Linked DNA regions of Coturnix japonica. The protein of the gene in region 2 interacts with the protein of the main gene of each other region in a pairwise test. Links are inferred from orthologs where the notes say so. Each region holds a gene or a part of one and is shown on either strand. Other genes may lie near its edges.

Region 1 (4,115 bases), on a different chromosome or scaffold from region 2:
CAGTTAAAATGCTAAATGCAAGTTTCTTCAGCTGCAACTTTTAAGGCCACATTACTTACTGTCTCTAGCCAGAAGCGATCAAGGTCACTTCGTCTCTGCTGTTTGGTTAGTGTAATTAGCCATCGGCCTCCTCGCTTGTTTTTTTCATCTTCCCACATAGGTTCAATCCCATCCTGGAAAGAACAGTCAGAAGTTAAATCAGACTTCACTTATACTTTTCCTTGGGTATAACCAAAGGACCAACAATAACTGAAACAGCACCAATAAGTATAGTTTGAGATACATACTTGTCTAGTATGAAAATACTAGAAAGTATTTTCTTTCTAGTAATACCTCTGGACCAACAGTAAAGTTCCACAACTGCTTAAAAACCACACCTTTCCTAGTGTTTTTTTTAAGCTGTCGTTTCCACGAAAGATTGTCAGCCCAAGCTGAAGCTTTAGCTACACAGTAGAGCATGAAATATATTGCAAAGTCAATCATCCACCTTGCCCTCTCTGAAACCCGATAAAATTAGCAGCCGCATTCTGGAGTCTTTATTTTAAGTCTTGGACTCAGCACAACGTTGGCCAAGTGCTCCACTTATGCGTGAAGATTACTTCACTAAAAACACTCTGGCAGTCTCTCTTTGACTTCCTGCACACATGGGGTGAAAATAAGAGGGTTCTAATCACTAGGGCCAGAAAAAAGGAAATAAAAGAGAATCAGCAGACCATTTAGAAATAAGTCACAGCCTTATTCATGCATTACCAGTGGCCCTGTACCACATTAAACAACTCTGGATGCGTTGAACCTGCAAACAAGTCAGCAGCCACTCCCATATCTACCAGCTACGCTGAACTTCAGGAAAGAAGGTCAGTCATTAAAAAAAGCAGGTAATTGTCTGGTCAGAGAAATTCAGACAAGAAATAGCTACAAAGAGAGCCACATTATAGAATTTCAACTGCAATCTAATTAAATGCTCAACCTACAGGATGGAGCAGAGCCAGTTCACTTTCTCAAATTTAACACCCTCACTGGCAGCTGCAGAGCTCAAACTGCTTCATCACCTTTAAGGGGAACTCTTATGAGGTCACAATTGAAGGACAACAGTAAGAGGTCACTCAAGTCTGCAACAGCTGACAATTCTATACCTGTTCCATATAGATGGAAACTGAAGTTTCTGTTGATAACATGCAAACTCTGAATAGATGCACAGAGACAAATTTAGGATTCAGACAAGAACACAAGCATGACCTGTATTTTTCCTAAGATTTGAAGGGATCCGTTTCTTAACATTTACCAGTAAAGTTTCTCACAACATAAATATTGTTACCTTCTCAAAATCAAGCATAACTACCTCTTCACTGCCCAAAGCTGCTGGGATTTATAATTTGCGTACAGCCTACTGAGGGGTCCCTGCCAGGGTCTGTTTCATAAGCAAAGGAGAAGCCAGGCATCAGTACTTACAGGATTATTTACGTATCTGAATCCAGAAAGGAAGCTGTATGTTAGAAGCACTTCATAGAGGTTAGGGATTAATTTAGAGCTCCAAATCAGATGTCCACTCCAGACAAAAGGCAGGATTTCATGTATAATTTCTCCTTGGCATTTTCTGTTAACTAACTTGAATGCTCAATAACTTGTCAGCCTTGTGTACAATTTTCTATTTCATGCCTATAGAATATGGCACTTAACTTATGGTGTCATAAAAATTAATTACAGGAGCGCTGTGCAGCTGGCTAGTAGCGTTCATTCTGAATGCTGACAAACATCACAGTTCTGCATAGAACTCAGCTATGGCTAATTTCATGTGACAGTGACAACTGGAAAAATCTCTTTCATAAAACTAAGACTTAATGATTCGTACAAACACCTAAAAGCTAGAATGAAGACAAACATAACTACAGATCAAAGCGTGATGGATTTAAAATGCTCAAGGAATTACTTGCATTTTCAGTATCAGTAACTGTGATTTTCAGAGTGCACTTTTGGGACTTCCTAAAAATTAAGACTTTTAGGACATCTCCAGCTGTGCTCCTACATGTCTGAAATGAAATGTTTGGACACAGTCTTGCTTAGTCGGGAAACCATCGATCAACATCCACAATGGAAGAAAAATTGTTAGCAAGCATACCTTAAACAGCGAGTAGTCACAACCAGGCATTAAATTACTAGAGAGCTGGATATGGTTGTATAAACTATTGGAGGGAAAAACAGCAGGATTAAAAACTAAACATTATTTTAAGGTACAAAATGCTAAAAGAATTTAGGACATGTCTGAATAAAATACAAAATTTAAACAGCATTAAAGTAATTCAGAAGCAACCCTGTTACCTAGGTTTTTTCCCCCAGCAGTACAAAAGCATTAGCTTTAATGAGTTCTAGCTCAAAGAAGCAGAATGGAAGCTGGTTTCATCAACACTTGCTGGGCTCCTATACCACAGTATTTCCCAGAAATACCTTTCCTTCTTCTAAACTTAGTTCTAACAAGTTAAAAATAATAAACATAACTTACTGAACTTTCATGCAAAAAAGGAAGTTTTGTGCATGTGTACTCGTCCTCTATATATGCATAACAATTTAATAGAATAACAATTTAAACACCTATGGTTATTCTCTCTGCAGAGAGATTTTTAAAAGTATTCAATTAGATTTTATTCACTTCTGTACTCTGTAGTTGAAGACTGTAAGCCCGATAATTCAAACTGAAATAAGAACTCATATGGCAAGAACAGATGACTGGAAGAACAATACAAAATACAGCCAGAATTAAATTCACGACTATGCAATTGAGAGCTAAGAAGTTGAGGCAGTTCATACAGCCTCCTAGCAAGAAGGCAGGTGCTTTTCTTTCCTGCACTGCTAAGGTGACACTTCAGAAGATGGTCTGCATCAAACACTAAACTGTAGTTCAAGACTAACTAACACTTAGGCATGGTCCAGTACTAAAAAGAAAACTAACTACTTCAACTTATTTTATAGCTTGACTGGAGACATCTGAACACTTTTCCACTACAGCCTTGATTACACAGCTCAAAAACTTACCCATCACTAAGTACACTGATAAGCTTCAAACAACTTATCACATATCCCACCAGGGGGATGCAAAAACTGTTTTCAAGAACTGAGTCCTGCTCCCCTTCCTCCAATGACTGTACTGACAAACATCAGCTTAAAATCTTCAACACGTTTCCTCTCTGATGGTGCTACTTTCACTGATGTGCATTAAAAATATGAAGAACTTCTCCAATTACACATAATTCAAATGTTATATTATTCTGGGTTACATTCTTGCAAACTCTGAAGAATCAAGATCTGGCCATTAATTTTATAGGTATTTCCAAAGAGTTGTGGCTAATGAAAAACTTTACACCTTCTGATTTCAGCATAAATTTAGCTATCACATATCAGCATTGTGCAGACCAAGGCATGTTTACTTACGCCCAAAAATCTTCAACAGTATCAAACTTTGAGATCAGACGGAGATTTGCTTGCCAAGTTTTGCTCTTGTCATTTTTAAAAAACCAGAGCGCCCATCTAAAGGAGAACAGAGTACAGAATAATAGCATCTAGAATTAAAGCACGTTACAAATAAAATTCAGTACTGATTATATACCAAGTAATCGCAAACCTCAAGAGGTTATTAGCACGGAAAGCAGTTTTCATTAGCTGGCAATGTGAAAAATTCATTTCTAAAATCTAGCTCTACAGCATGTATCCTAGAGTTACAACAGTCATGGGAGACTTGATTATCATATCAAGTAATTACATCATATCAAGTTATATTATCATTGAGGTAATTATTTCTAATGTGTTTGGGTCATTTCTAAGACTAAATCTCTAAGCCTCAGATGATTCCCCTTTTTGCCACTGGTAAACTGCAAAGTCCTCCCACCAGTAACAATCATGGTTTGAAGCAGTGCCAACTATCCCAATCTGGAACTCAGCTGCCTATTCCATAATTTCTCTGTAAAAGTCAAAAGCTAATTCTAGTGTATGCATATAGATGAATGTCTCCCTAGCATTCACCCACCGGGAGAACAAATTTCAATAGAAGTCACTTGAATTCATTTTTTATAAAACTACCAGCTTAAGCTTCACTTCGGGTTTTTAGATTCACACAAGTGAATACT
Region 2 (4,115 bases):
ATAAACTCAGTTCTGTATCCTGAGAGGAAGATATTTTGTATTATTTAAAACAAATATCTTGAAGCATAAAAGCTTCCATCTGCTGACAACAGCTAGGTCAAGAACTATTAACAATCAGACTTCTTAATATCTTGTTATTGCATTTATCACAGGAGAGGTTTGTAGGATGCACAGAAGTGGATGTATCCCAGTTCTTCTAGGAAAGAACTGACACCTGAAACTCAGTGCTCATCCATTGGACCATGAAGATTCTCTTTAAGAACAAGCCCACTTGTGTGGAACACTGAACTGCAGTTAGCCTGTTCCTGTTACTTTTAGCGCAGACTGTCCAAAACTATTTAAATATTTAACCAGGAAAAAAGAACAAACCCTGAAACGTTTATCTTTGTAGTCCCTCTCACGTTCTCTGTCTCTTGCATCTCTAGAATCACGTAAATCTTTTTCACCACCCCTGTGGTCTTTATCAAAGTTACGTGAAGAGATGATTCTTCCACTGCCAATCCTACGTCCACCAATAACACGGACACCGTCATTCTCTTTTTCTAATGGGCTGCCTGATCGACGTGAGCTAACAGCTGCAGTTACATGACAGCCACCTCCAAAGCTTCGTCTTTGTGGACTCAAGACAACATCCAAGTCATCTTCTTTCACTCTCTCTCTTGGATCTACAAATCAAAGATCACACAAAGTATTTAGTTGAATACAGCAGTAAGCACAAGCTAGCTATCCACAAGATAACCTTCAGATAAGATAAATAAAAAAATAAGATAAACCACAGCCTTGCTGCTACCCCTGGAGCTTTTCAAAGGACAACATCCACAGTTTATTTTTGTGAGGCTAACCTGCCAAACACCACAGAAAGATGAGAATTAAAATCACAGCTGGATATTAAGGAATCATTGCTCTGTCACCTAGAAAGTCCCTGCTCTCATCTATACCTCCTAAGTACATGCCCAATCTTGAAGCACAGAAAACTACCCTCTATAACTGCATTGTTCCAAATGTACTTACTACTATATTGCAAAAACAGCAGGCAATAACAATCTGCTAGTTTTCATAGAGTTAATAGCATACCAGGAACAAGTTATACTTGGAATCACCAAGATTTCCTTGATACTTATTCTATGTAATAAATTTTCAGATATTCATGTCATCCCAAAGGGAAAGTTTTGCCAACAGCTTATGTTTAAGTTTGGTTCCTGTACTGTAACATACTCACCTACTATTCTACGCATAAGAGAAGTCCGATCTGAATCCAAATCTTTTTTAAAGCTTTCCACTGGTGAAGTCCTCCCTGAACTCGGATATAAAGATGCATGCCACTTCTCTGGATCCCAGACACCATCACTATGAAAAAAAAGGTGCAGGATTACTTACTACATCTAACATAATAAAGAAATCATATCACTGTTGCTGCAAACTAGAACTCATTAGCCATCTGGTACGAACAAGATCCACCTCCCACCTAACTTCTGAATCTTTGAGTTACCACATGAGGTCGTGAAGTGTAGTATTCCAGATCCTTCCTATAAGCATAAGTATACCATATATACACTTAGACTGTAGAACATATGTTATCCCACCAGGTATCAAGGAAGTTTGCCTGACACAATGATAAAAATAACTCAAGTGGATCAAGTGTCTCAGTTCTCAGGCATTTTGGAAGTTCTCTTCATCTCATACTTGTCCAAATGAACAATCTGGTATTGGAGATCTTGCTGTTTAGCAAACTCCTCAGCACAAGGCAGGAATACTCTCACCTTCATTTTAAAATGAGGTACACTGTTAACGTGGGAGCGTAATCCATTAAGCAAGTCAGCCTGTTGCAACATGACCTCGTCAGTGCTGTACACCCACCTATATTCTTGTTACCATTTTAAATAAATGAAACAGCACTAAAATCATGCTGAAGCATAGCTTCTGTATGTCTATGAGATTTGTACAGTGAAAAGTTATTTTCTTATGGATCTTACATTACAATATTTTCCAAGTACAAATTTCCCAACTAGCACATTCAGTTTCTACTATTAGATTATTACTTCTGAAAATACTTCAGTTTACTTGCATCAAAATAAGAGAAACTTTCCAGCTAAGAACTACTTGATATTTCAACTTCTGCTTTGGAAACAGATGTAGTTCTCAGTATAATCAAGAAAATACCTGTCATATTTTTCAGAGAGACAAGAAGGTCTTTGCTTAGAGTAGGGACGCTCTTTAATATCCAGAAGTTCCTCCTAGAAAAAAAGAGCAAGCAGTTTTAATTCTCACCCAGACGCGATTTAAGTGACTCAAACATCTGTTCCAAACTACCTATTTGATTTAGCCATTTCATTTGACAAGCCATGTCATTGTGTTAGTTCATTTACTGTTAAATACAACAGTGAAAAGTTGACATTGGTTTATTTTTCAGTTCTTCCACCAGTAGCCTTTGAGCACACTCTCAACTAATCAGAACTATACACCTCACCTCCATTACCTCTTTCTACAATGACAGAGACAACGTAATGCTGTTTGAGAAAGGAAAGCGAGTCCAACCCATAACACTGACAACCTGTAGAATAAGTTACAGCACCATTATCAACACAGAACAAATTTTAGAGTGTGACTCAGGTTCCAAAAGAGAATTTCACTGGGCTAACCTAGAATTTAGACAACGTCTATATAAGTCAGTATAGCACTTCCAGAAACCAGAAGTGTTTAAAAACAGAAGTTGGTTTCTGAAAATGATCTGAAACTAATCATACAGACCTATCTAACAAATCAGTATGACTTCTAGTGAATGACAAAGTAGTAGTAGCAGTGCTTAGCAAGTAAATTAATGTTTCCTCCCATGTCTACCACTATAGATGACAAGAATAAAACAAGTTTTACCCACAAACATTAACCTCAAATCCATACTCACTTGAAGTACAAAATCTTACTAGGTCAGATTTGGGCTCCGTTAACACTTAAGGCTGTCCACATCAGCCATGTTAACTCATCCATTTCCCTGCACAATTTAACTTACAAGCACAACAAGCACTGACATTGAAGCTAGCAAGCTTTCAAGATAGAATGAAAATCGCTGTGTTCAATGCTGTGTAAAGTTCAGTTTGTAAAAATAAAAGCATTACACAATATCAATCACTAAAGCAGATCTGGAAATACCAGACAAGCTTGTCATTTTTGACCATCACCTACTCGAAACCATCACCTATTGTGACTCTACCCAAGACAAATTGATGTAAAACTGAAATATCATTTAGCAATTCCTACCAGCTTCCAAATACACTCCTGAGTTGATAGCTGTGCACCCTGACTAGCCAGCCATTTTAGGGAGACAAGCAGCTTACCTTCTCACTGTAGCTTGCTACATTCAAAAAGCACTAAGTGTTGTCAGCACTCTGGATCACCAGAGCTACACATAGTAAAGATGCGCATTTCTAACTCTTAGATATCTTCTGTAGATTGCCTTTCTTTAATCTGCCTCCCTTCCAGCTGTACTGTACTGAGAACTTATCAGGAAGGACAAAGACCCAAACAGTAGACACCATATCAGCCATACTGAAGAAGGTTCTGTAATCCAAGAGTAAAGCATCTACACAACAGCTTTCACATCATTATTCCCATGCATCTAAAAAAATCAGATCAGTGGCTACATTAACAAGCAATGCCCAGGATCATTCATGTGTTAAGGTTTTATCCACCTACCATACAAATGTACTTCCTCAGCATAATCCTGCACTAGTCCTCAGCAAAATGAGTCTTTCCCCAGCACCATCTGACAACCCGGACAGCAACTATTTAAAAAGAAGGAGACTGGACTCTCTGCCCATGGCCTCCCAAAATAAACTTTGATCTATGAGGAACATCAATGTGGTAATATTATCATAGTCTGATGTAGGTATGAGGATTATTAACAACACTATCCAACACCAGACATGGAAATTTACTATTTTGTTGGCCACGAGAGGGAGTTCATAGACTTCAAACAGATTTCACTGCAACTTTTCTATTGAAGTGAGGAGCATTTCACTTATGAGCTGCACACCCTGGAGCAACGTGCTTCTAAAGCACTAGGAGACACAGTGTGGAATACACAATACTTTGTCTTAAGAGTACATTGATATCAGCAC
Region 3 (4,543 bases), on a different chromosome or scaffold from region 2:
GATAATTTCTACACTGCATTTGCATGCAAGTTCTCAATGAGTGTACCTGCCCTCTAGCGGTTAGAATTTAAAAGCTTTGACTTACAGGTTTCTACTGAAAAGCAGAGGACAAATGTGAATCCAGGCTTCAGCTCAGACAGTCCCTCCTGGAGCTTATTCTCTCTCCTTTAACAAAACTTGGAACCAAATCTTCTGACCAACCTCTTTCCAACCTACCTGAATTCTAGCATTTCCAGCCTACAGTATCAATCAGAAAATCTTTACAGCAAAGAGCAGACAACCCAACACTGCCTTTCCAGTACTTACTTCATTCTAGGAATAAAAAACCACGAACAGCTAAAGGGTAAAAGGAAGAAAAGTTTCCCCTCCAACCAACTTCACTGCAACACTCAACTGTACCTCAGTCATCACTTCCACAGCAACAGCAGACACCATGCCAAAAGCTGCTTACACATCAAGAACACCAGATGACTGTTCTTAACACACTTTGTGGTGGAAATACTGGGGGTAGAAGGGAGCAGCTGTACAGTCATTGCTTCACAGCTCTTTCTTTCTTCTCTTGCTCACTTGTCAAGCACTGCTGCAGCTAGCAGGTTACAGTTATAAGAGCTCTCACCATTCTTCTATTATTATTCCAGCTAACACAACGCAGAGGAGAACTGCTTAGGACACTCCACCTGCTGTAGGTAGTTAAAGAACTCACCTGTAAGTCCTCTGCTCTCAACAGCAGAAGCACAGCATGCACGTGCATATGCTCAACATACAGAGAGTAAGCCAGCCGCAATGACTACATCATGTCCAAGTGGTACAAGCACAACAGGGATATACTCACTGAGGCAAAGGTGCCGATCTGTTTGATGTTCTGTTCATAACTCTGTGAGCTGGTTGGCCTCCCAGGTGTTCGTCTGGAGTACCAGAAAGTGTAATTATACTGCAAGGGGTGCTCAGCTGGTCCCGGGACAACCGCCTGCAGAACAGAAAACCTTGCTTAGCCCTAATATGCTACTCTACAGCAGGAATGGAAAAAGAAATACATTCACAGCATCAGAAATCTACATGTTCCCATCCTAACAGAGTGTAAAACAAACAATAAAGCCTGACTTTCACTGAAAAATGCCATTACTGTTAGTTGACTTTCATGGACCATTAGGCTAACAGCAGCTGGCCATTCCAAAGAGTATTAGAAATTAGCTGTATGTTCACAGTTAAGGAAATAAGCTCTAGGAAGAGACACACATAAACAGGCTTCATAACAATTAAAAACAGCATTATTAAATTTACCTTTTAATTCCGCACTGTGACTGTCTCAAAAGAAAATGACAAACTGAAAACAGCAATATTTTCTTCTGAATGAAAAAAAAAAAGCCATTTTTCCCTATGAAGAATAAAACACATATACTAAATCATGCTTTAAAAGCATTACAACTGATTGCTAACTGCAGCTCCCCTTAAGCAACTGACACTCCCAAAACTCTGTGAGGATTATTCTGTCTTCTAATGAGTGTGAAAAGGGGTTAACAAGAACTTATTACCCAGGAGTCAAAACTGACATGACACAAGATGAGGGCTTTGGGTTTTTGGTTTTTTTTTCCACTTGGTATTGCTGCAGGAGTAAAGAGCTTAAATCTCTATTCTTTTCTTGTCTATAGTAAATTTACAATGATATAAGCACAAGATTAAAAATAAAAACAACAAATAAGCATAGAATTATAGAAACATAGAGTCATATCCACCTTCTCAACCAGGGTACACTGCACTCAATGAGATCCCATCTTAAGAGTAATGTCAACAGCAGGACAAACACAGTTTGTAAGCCAGCAAAAGGCCACCATTCCTCTGTCAATCACTCTCTTCCCCACATCCTCTTCCAAATATTGTTTTCAACAGTCAGGGGAATAAAGCTTTATTTTTTTCTAACATAAGCAAAAGCCTGGCTGCTCCTAGTTGCAATTACGAAGGAAGTATGAAGGAGATTCAGGCTGGACATTAGGAAGTATTACTTCTCAGAAAGGGTAGTCAGGCATTGGAATGCACTGCCCAGGGAGGTGGTGGAGTCACCGACCATGGGAGTGTTCAAGAAACGTTTGGATGTTGTGTTGATGAACATGATTTAGCTGGGAAGTATTGGGAATGATTGGACTAGATGATCTTCTGGGTCTTTTCCAACCTTGATAATTCTGTGATTCTGTGAAGCGTTCACCCCACAGATTATATACCTCTAAGAACTCCAAAATGAAACTTCAAAATCAGACAGAGTAAAAGAGTTCTTCCATCATCATTACCACAGCAACAAAACATAACATGACCACAGTCCTCCAAGACATTTTTCCTTATCCTTAAACTGAGGGCTCCAGTACTCTCACCTCAAGCCCTGGTGAGGGGATGCAGCCACCAGCACCTTACCTTCCTCTTGGTGGTACTCTGTGGCTTCTCTCGATCATTTTTTTCCTTCTCACTGTCTTTCTGTGTGTTATTCTCCTCGTTCTGGTCATGGTCTCCACTATCATCATCTTTCAATCTGGTAATGAAGAAGACCAGTGGCTGTGAGCATTATATCTTGGAGCTGGGAAGTTTCACAGCAAGCAGCAGCAGCAACCTCTTTTTATACTCTCCTGCTAATGCTTGACACACACTCAGGCACATGCAAAACCGAGATACAAGTGAATTCAAGCACTCAGTAACCGACCACAGACCCTCTGCAAAACAACCCCACCGTGTGGACCCTCCAACCTGCCGGCAGCATCCACAGAGCCCCCAGTGCAGCTTTCTGCCCCTCCACAGCCTGTGCCGGCCACGGCAGCCATCACCACCCTCACGCCTCAGTGCTCCGGGCCTGCCCCGCTCCCTGCCGAGGGCAGGAAAAGCTGAACGAGAACCGTGACCAACAGGCCGGCCCGGTGCACAACGAGGCCTCCCGACAGAGAGCAGGGCCGGGAAAGGGGCTGTGTGCGGCCCCGTGACTCATGGCGGATGGGAGCCGCGGGCAGGGCCCGAGCCACGCCGCCGACTCACGCGTCGAATTTGTTGTTCATCGTCGCTCGCTGCCGCCACCCCCGTCCACCTCAGCGACTTCCGCTCCGCCGAGTCCGCTCTCCAAAACCTTCCGCCACTTCCTGCGGCGACAGCGCCGCCATGATCCCCGCCCCGCCATCATGGGGGCGGAGCAAGGCGGAAGTGGGAAATAGACATTTCCGGCCGCCATCTTGGTTCTTGTACTCATGTATATGGATATGAATATATATGTATATGGATATATACATGAATATACAAGGACAGTGACACATCAAAGTGCAGATGCGTGTATTTCTCACCTTATTCTTACAGATACACCATAGTTTAGAGACATACTAATATACATACTGCCATCATAAAGCGGTACTGTTGGCATCTGAACCAGTTATGAAGAAATCTGTGGTCATTTGAACATGTTGTGTATGAATATAGATCATGGGTCATCCTTTATCTGCAGATATAAGAGAGGTGCTGAGCTTTAAGAATCTTTTAGTACTGTAACAGATTTCCAGCAAGACAGATTTATCCATATATGCATATCCACAGAATCCGTACAGAGTTAAGTTGGAAAGACAGCAGCTCTACTAGAAAAGTAATGACTGGCTGAGGAACGTAGTGTACAGTCAGCTTTGTTCCAGTCTACAGTGGAACAACGTTATTATCTGTGTGGTGACTGCCAAGGAACACCAGCAAGTACTTAGGCAAAGTGCTGGGCTTTTGAAGTGCAATTCAAATAGATAAATAACAGTCTTTCAGAAGGAAGAGGAGGAGGATGTGGGAAGACAGCTGGAAAATATCTGAACTGCAAATGTTTTAAATACGTTGCAGCTGCACAAGAGACAAATACTCGTTACCTTTAATTTCCTGAGTGAAGTATGCGTCACTGAGGATCCATGACTCTCCAGGCACCCAGCTCTTCTGGTGGTTCCTGGTCTCACCCTTAATAAGTGTTTGCAGATCCTGCAAGTGTGTTAGTGCCAGCAGCTGTCTCATTAACACAGGGCTGAAGCACTTTGATGGTGGTGGGAAGGTTTCTTAGAGCTGCATGTGGAAATACAAGCGCAAGGAATACTATGACTATCTGGGCTTCATAGCTTTGTTTAGAGCCTGAACTGTCAAAGCTGAGCCATGTCTAACCATTTCTGTGACGCAGGTGTATTACTTATCTGAATATAGGAAATAAATGCCCACATAATTTTTTTAAAGTTGATTTTGGAGGCAAGATCTGTGAAGGGTGACCATTAGTATGCAGGTATTTCTCAGATCACTTACTCTCCTATACTGACTTTGAGATTTGTGGCATTTAAATACCCTTGGATACAATTCTTCTTGTTTTCTAAGTGAAGCCTTGCCCAAAATGACGTTTCCTATATTGATGTAAACAACAAAATCATAAACACTTGCTTTTAAAACCTTATTTGTTTGTACTTATTTGTTTTCCTATTGTTCAGCTGCCTTTATCAGTCTATCAGTACTCACACAAGGAGCTGCCTTCATTGTTAAAGTAGAAATTATAGATGTAATTAACACT
Region 4 (4,115 bases), on a different chromosome or scaffold from region 2:
TGATTCTAAATCCACTGACTATGTCTGGTTTGTTGCAGACGAGTGCTGAGTTACTAACAGCATTCTCATCCCCCCTTCTTATCAGAGGAGCACTAAGCTGGAAAATAGTTCAGTAATTTCCCTTTCATATATGCACAATGGTTCATCATGACTCTCAGCAGCTAACCTGCTACACACAGACAGAAGTTAGCTTAGACCAATTCTCTTAACCTAATAACAACCTTAGAATTTGTTTTGTAGGGTGTAGTCTTCAGGAAAGAGAATGGTCTAAAGTACTAAACAGTAGCTGTGCTCACTGCAAATATTGTACCTTGAAATACCTATTGTTATATGAGGAAAGAAGTCTCCACAAAACACAGAATGAAAGATCACAAGCAATCTCAGTGTGAAAGCTACAGGTATAGAATACCAGACTGGACTGTAACAAATCTTTCCACCTTGTAACTCCTGGGATTCCTCATGTCAGTTTCTCCATATAAGGAACTCACCTGCGTGAATGGGTCACAGTCAACAATGCGGTATGTCCTGCCATACATGGTGATGTTGATACCTCGATTCAGATCCTTCCAGTGGTAAGGATCCCCAAGGGCATTCTTGGGCACGCGATGACGTCTGATAAATGTGCCTTGACGAAAACCGCAGTTCTTCACAACAGGCTCCATGACAGATATGGTGTCATCTTCCAAATAGTAATAGATACCCACTTGGCGAATACGGTAATGCTCTTCTGTAGAGAGAGGAACATCTTCCTGGAAATAGGCATCAAACTTCAAAACCTGCCAGAGGGACAAGATACCAAAGAGAGAGGGAAAGAAACAATTTGACCACCACAGTTAGTCTGTTAATACAAAGTTAATACAAAGAATTGTACTTGCAATGGGCTTTGACAGTGAAAAATGACTGGATTCTAATCTATAAAATCATCAAGGCCAACTGTTAGCCCAATCTGTGACTGATGGTGGAGGCTTCAATAGGGCTTTTCTAAGTTTGGTTACACAAGATACTTGTAATAAATACAGCACTTTCTTTTCTCCATGATCATCTGTTATTCTACCTACTAACCGAGTGCTTGGTTACTGTCAGTAATCTAATTTACAGACACATCTGACTTTCTTTAATAATCAGACCCCCTGAACAAGGGTCTGAAAAATGATCTGGTGATTTTAGTTAACAGTTTGATGACATTTGTGGTTTTTAGGACCTGCCTCATTCATCTGAACTCATATCTATCCAGCACAGGCAGGAAGAGGCAATTTGTTCTGAAGGAATAAAGAGAGAAATCAGGACACAGAGGAAACTCACGCTGCATACCCTGCCAAAAGCCAGTCAGTCTCAGTCCCGTGAATGATAGAAGCACAAGGAATATTGCCTCCAAGAGCATTCATTGCTCCTAAGAGGATGTAGGTGGGTAATCAAGCCTTGCATACCCAGCCCACTGACCTACGTAATCAAGTAGCTACTACTATAGTTTGAATGAAGGGACAGGGAAGTATCTGACATTAAAACAGCACCATCTACGTTACTCTGAAAGAATGGCCCCTGAAGCAGTAATTAACACAGGATATTTGTCCCTCATGCTGTCTCCCAGGAGGGCTGCCTTTCCAGACCTGCCAGACAGGGTGCAACCTCTGCATGTGCTCAGGACTGCCGAGCCTTTCATGCTCTGCAGGGACTGCTCTGGCTGCAGCTGCAGTCTGTGCAACCAGCACGTTTAAAAGTGAGGGTCAGCTCAGGATTGCAGACCTAGAGCCACCTCCTAGTCTGACAGGATCACCAAGATGTAATGCAGGAAGTACAGCTGGAGCAGCAGGCTCTAACATGCTGTGGTGACAAGCATGAGCATATATAGATAGACCAAAGCTAGACAGTCTATCAGGGACTCAAATGCAGAGAGACTTAACTGTTCAAGCTCAGTTACAACCTCAATAACCTTTTGGAAATGCAGGAGGGCAGGCTGTGTTTTACAGGGCAGTGGTTATAAACTGAAGCTTTTCAGAATTAATCAAATTTCTTTTCAAACTCCTGCTGGAATTGCTCCGGCGTAACTCGCAGGGAATGTCTTACATCGTTTATGTATTATAATCCTCCTCCTGAGCAAAGAAAGCCTCTTTCAGACTGGGGTTCAGCTGTCTCTGACTAAGGGCTATGGCATCTGAAAACTGCTGTACGCTGTCCCATGAACCCTGGAGCTGACTGTTTATGTCTCCGAACTTGGCCAGCCAATATTCCTGGAATAAACTTCTTTATACCTTTTTGTCAAAAGCCACGTGTGCTGGAACGAAGCCTGAAGGAGTAATCTTCTTGGCTTCCCCGTAGGTCAGTGTGGGTCCTGTGTAGCATAATTCATCTAATTCAGCTTGAGTAGGCTGATTCACGTACAGTCGCTCCCCGCCGAACCCCACTGTTGGCAGCCGAGAAAAGGCAAACCCATTTTTGTAGCCCAGCGTCTGCGAGCGATGAAAGGATGTTTTCTGTGGAAGAAAATCCAGCTGTTAAAATCCTACATGCACTTAGTAGATATTGCTACTAAAAGCACAGAAAACCAGTGACAGTTTGATAGCCAGAATGCCTCCACAGTGATTTATTATAACCTACTGCAGCCGTTACTTACGCTTAGATCAAGAAGGCTGAATAAACAGTGAGTGATTGGAGGAACAAAGCATCAGAGTCAGCTCAAATCCTTGCACTGGCACAGACTTACCACGAGCCTCAGCATCCAGAATGGGGCAACTGCACTTGATCTGCCCTAGTATTTATCTCACAGACCTTTTCTTCCCTACTCTGTGCTACAGCAGTGCAAAGCTCCAAGGGACCTCACTCCCTTATGCCCTATGGTGCTCCCTTGACTATTGCATGTGCACCTTCTTTCTGTTACTTCTTTGTTATATATTCCTTGCAATTTCAGAGGATTCCCCTTGCTGGTCAAGATGTGTCACGTCTTTAGAACTGGAATTAGGAAACACATCAAAGCATATCATTTGTTTCACCACCTCTCCCCACAACTTATGTAAGGGTCTGCATGTAAAAAACCACAGACACAGAGTAAAGTCCTATAGCAGATCTATGGGGAACCCATTATGACAAACAATTCTGTTTATGTGAGCACTGTATAACGTTGGCGATAGGATTCTCCTGTTATTTTTAGCTTTGTTGGTTTATTCTTAGTTTTGACCTTCTTAGAGGCCTTTCCTGCCTTTGCTATCTGCTTCGTGTCAGCTATCAAACCGTTCTTCAAGTGAAATAATTATCCACATGCCACAGGAAGGTCCCCACTTTGCTTAAGGGCACAGAAGAAAGCATCTGAGCTGTGAATAGGATGTCAGCTCTGTTTGCCCAGTTGCGTTCTTCTCCACTGAAGAGGAGGATTGGACTTGGCAGGCAGGAGGCTACTCAGCTTGCAGTACAGCCCACATCTGCTGCTGAAAGCATTTGGAACAACACGTGGCTGGCTGGTCCCACTAGGCTTTCGGCACTTGTAACAAGGAAAGCAGGAGAAACTGTGAGTCCATGAGCATGACCCCTCCATGGAAGCATTGCCCCCTCCCTGGAAGCATTTCAGACCAGGCTGGATGGGGCTGTGAGCAAAGTGGTCTAAAAGGAGATGTCTCTGCTTAGAGTAGGGGGATTGGAACTGGATGATCTTAAAGGTCCCTTCCAACCCAAACCATTCTATAATTCTATGATAAAGTATCTGCTTTTACCTTCAGTTTTGCCAAATCAAACAGAATTGTAGGCATTTCTAGCGCCAAAGGAAAAGGCTTCAGCTCCTTTGCCAGACTCACAATCAGCCCAGCCTCAGGCATGTGAACCACTTCTCCTCCTCCCCCTCCCTCACCCCCCATGGTTAAGCTTCTAATCTTATTTATACCTTCAAGGCCTCACTTGAATTTCACATAATTGCCTGTTTTCTCTCTGAGCTGGTACTACGCATCTCACAGTGCAGTTAGGAAAACACATTCAGGTGAAAACAAGATAGTTTACTGGAGACACGTTAACAGAATGTTTCATAAACAGCAGCCCTGCCACAGGATTGCCATTCCTTTCTGTTCAATAAATACCAAGGGAAACATTCAATGAAAACCAAGGAGTTTGTCCTTAGATTGGCAATATCAGCG

The links.
Region 1: the proteins of EIF4ENIF1 (region 2) and EIF4E interact in binary tests that used the Homo sapiens proteins (3 or more experiments, as listed by UniProt). The link is inferred for Coturnix japonica from reciprocal best matches to the Homo sapiens genes EIF4ENIF1 and EIF4E.
Region 3: the proteins of EIF4ENIF1 (region 2) and EIF4E2 interact in binary tests that used the Homo sapiens proteins (3 or more experiments, as listed by UniProt). The two-hybrid records come from large-scale screens. The link is inferred for Coturnix japonica from reciprocal best matches to the Homo sapiens genes EIF4ENIF1 and EIF4E2.
Region 4: the proteins of EIF4ENIF1 (region 2) and EFHC1 interact in binary tests that used the Homo sapiens proteins (3 or more experiments, as listed by UniProt). The two-hybrid records come from large-scale screens. The link is inferred for Coturnix japonica from reciprocal best matches to the Homo sapiens genes EIF4ENIF1 and EFHC1.

Annotation. Positions count from the first base shown.
Region 1 is NC_029519.1:53,875,735-53,879,849, forward strand, and holds part of EIF4E (eukaryotic translation initiation factor 4E), read right to left. Parts: intron 3,520-4,115; coding exon 3,424-3,519; intron 2,181-3,423; coding exon 2,117-2,180; intron 174-2,116; coding exon 60-173; intron 1-59. UniProt on the Homo sapiens protein: Acts in the cytoplasm to initiate and regulate protein synthesis and is required in the nucleus for export of a subset of mRNAs from the nucleus to the cytoplasm which promotes processes such as RNA capping, processing and splicing.
Region 2 is NC_029530.1:7,949,450-7,953,564, reverse strand, and holds part of EIF4ENIF1 (eukaryotic translation initiation factor 4E transporter), read right to left. Parts: intron 2,235-4,115; coding exon 2,161-2,234; intron 1,348-2,160; coding exon 1,220-1,347; intron 666-1,219; coding exon 370-665; intron 1-369. UniProt on the Homo sapiens protein: EIF4E-binding protein that regulates translation and stability of mRNAs in processing bodies (P-bodies). Plays a key role in P-bodies to coordinate the storage of translationally inactive mRNAs in the cytoplasm and prevent their degradation.
Region 3 is NC_029524.1:13,651,777-13,656,319, forward strand, and holds the start of EIF4E2 (eukaryotic translation initiation factor 4E type 2), read right to left. Parts: upstream 2,980-4,543; 5' UTR 2,805-2,979; coding exon 2,731-2,804; intron 2,519-2,730; coding exon 2,404-2,518; intron 968-2,403; coding exon 833-967; intron 1-832. UniProt on the Homo sapiens protein: Recognizes and binds the 7-methylguanosine-containing mRNA cap during an early step in the initiation. Acts as a repressor of translation initiation.
Region 4 is NC_029518.1:98,069,119-98,073,233, forward strand, and holds part of EFHC1 (EF-hand domain-containing protein 1), read right to left. Parts: intron 2,472-4,115; coding exon 2,250-2,471; intron 777-2,249; coding exon 489-776; intron 1-488. UniProt on the Homo sapiens protein: Microtubule inner protein (MIP) part of the dynein-decorated doublet microtubules (DMTs) in cilia axoneme, which is required for motile cilia beating.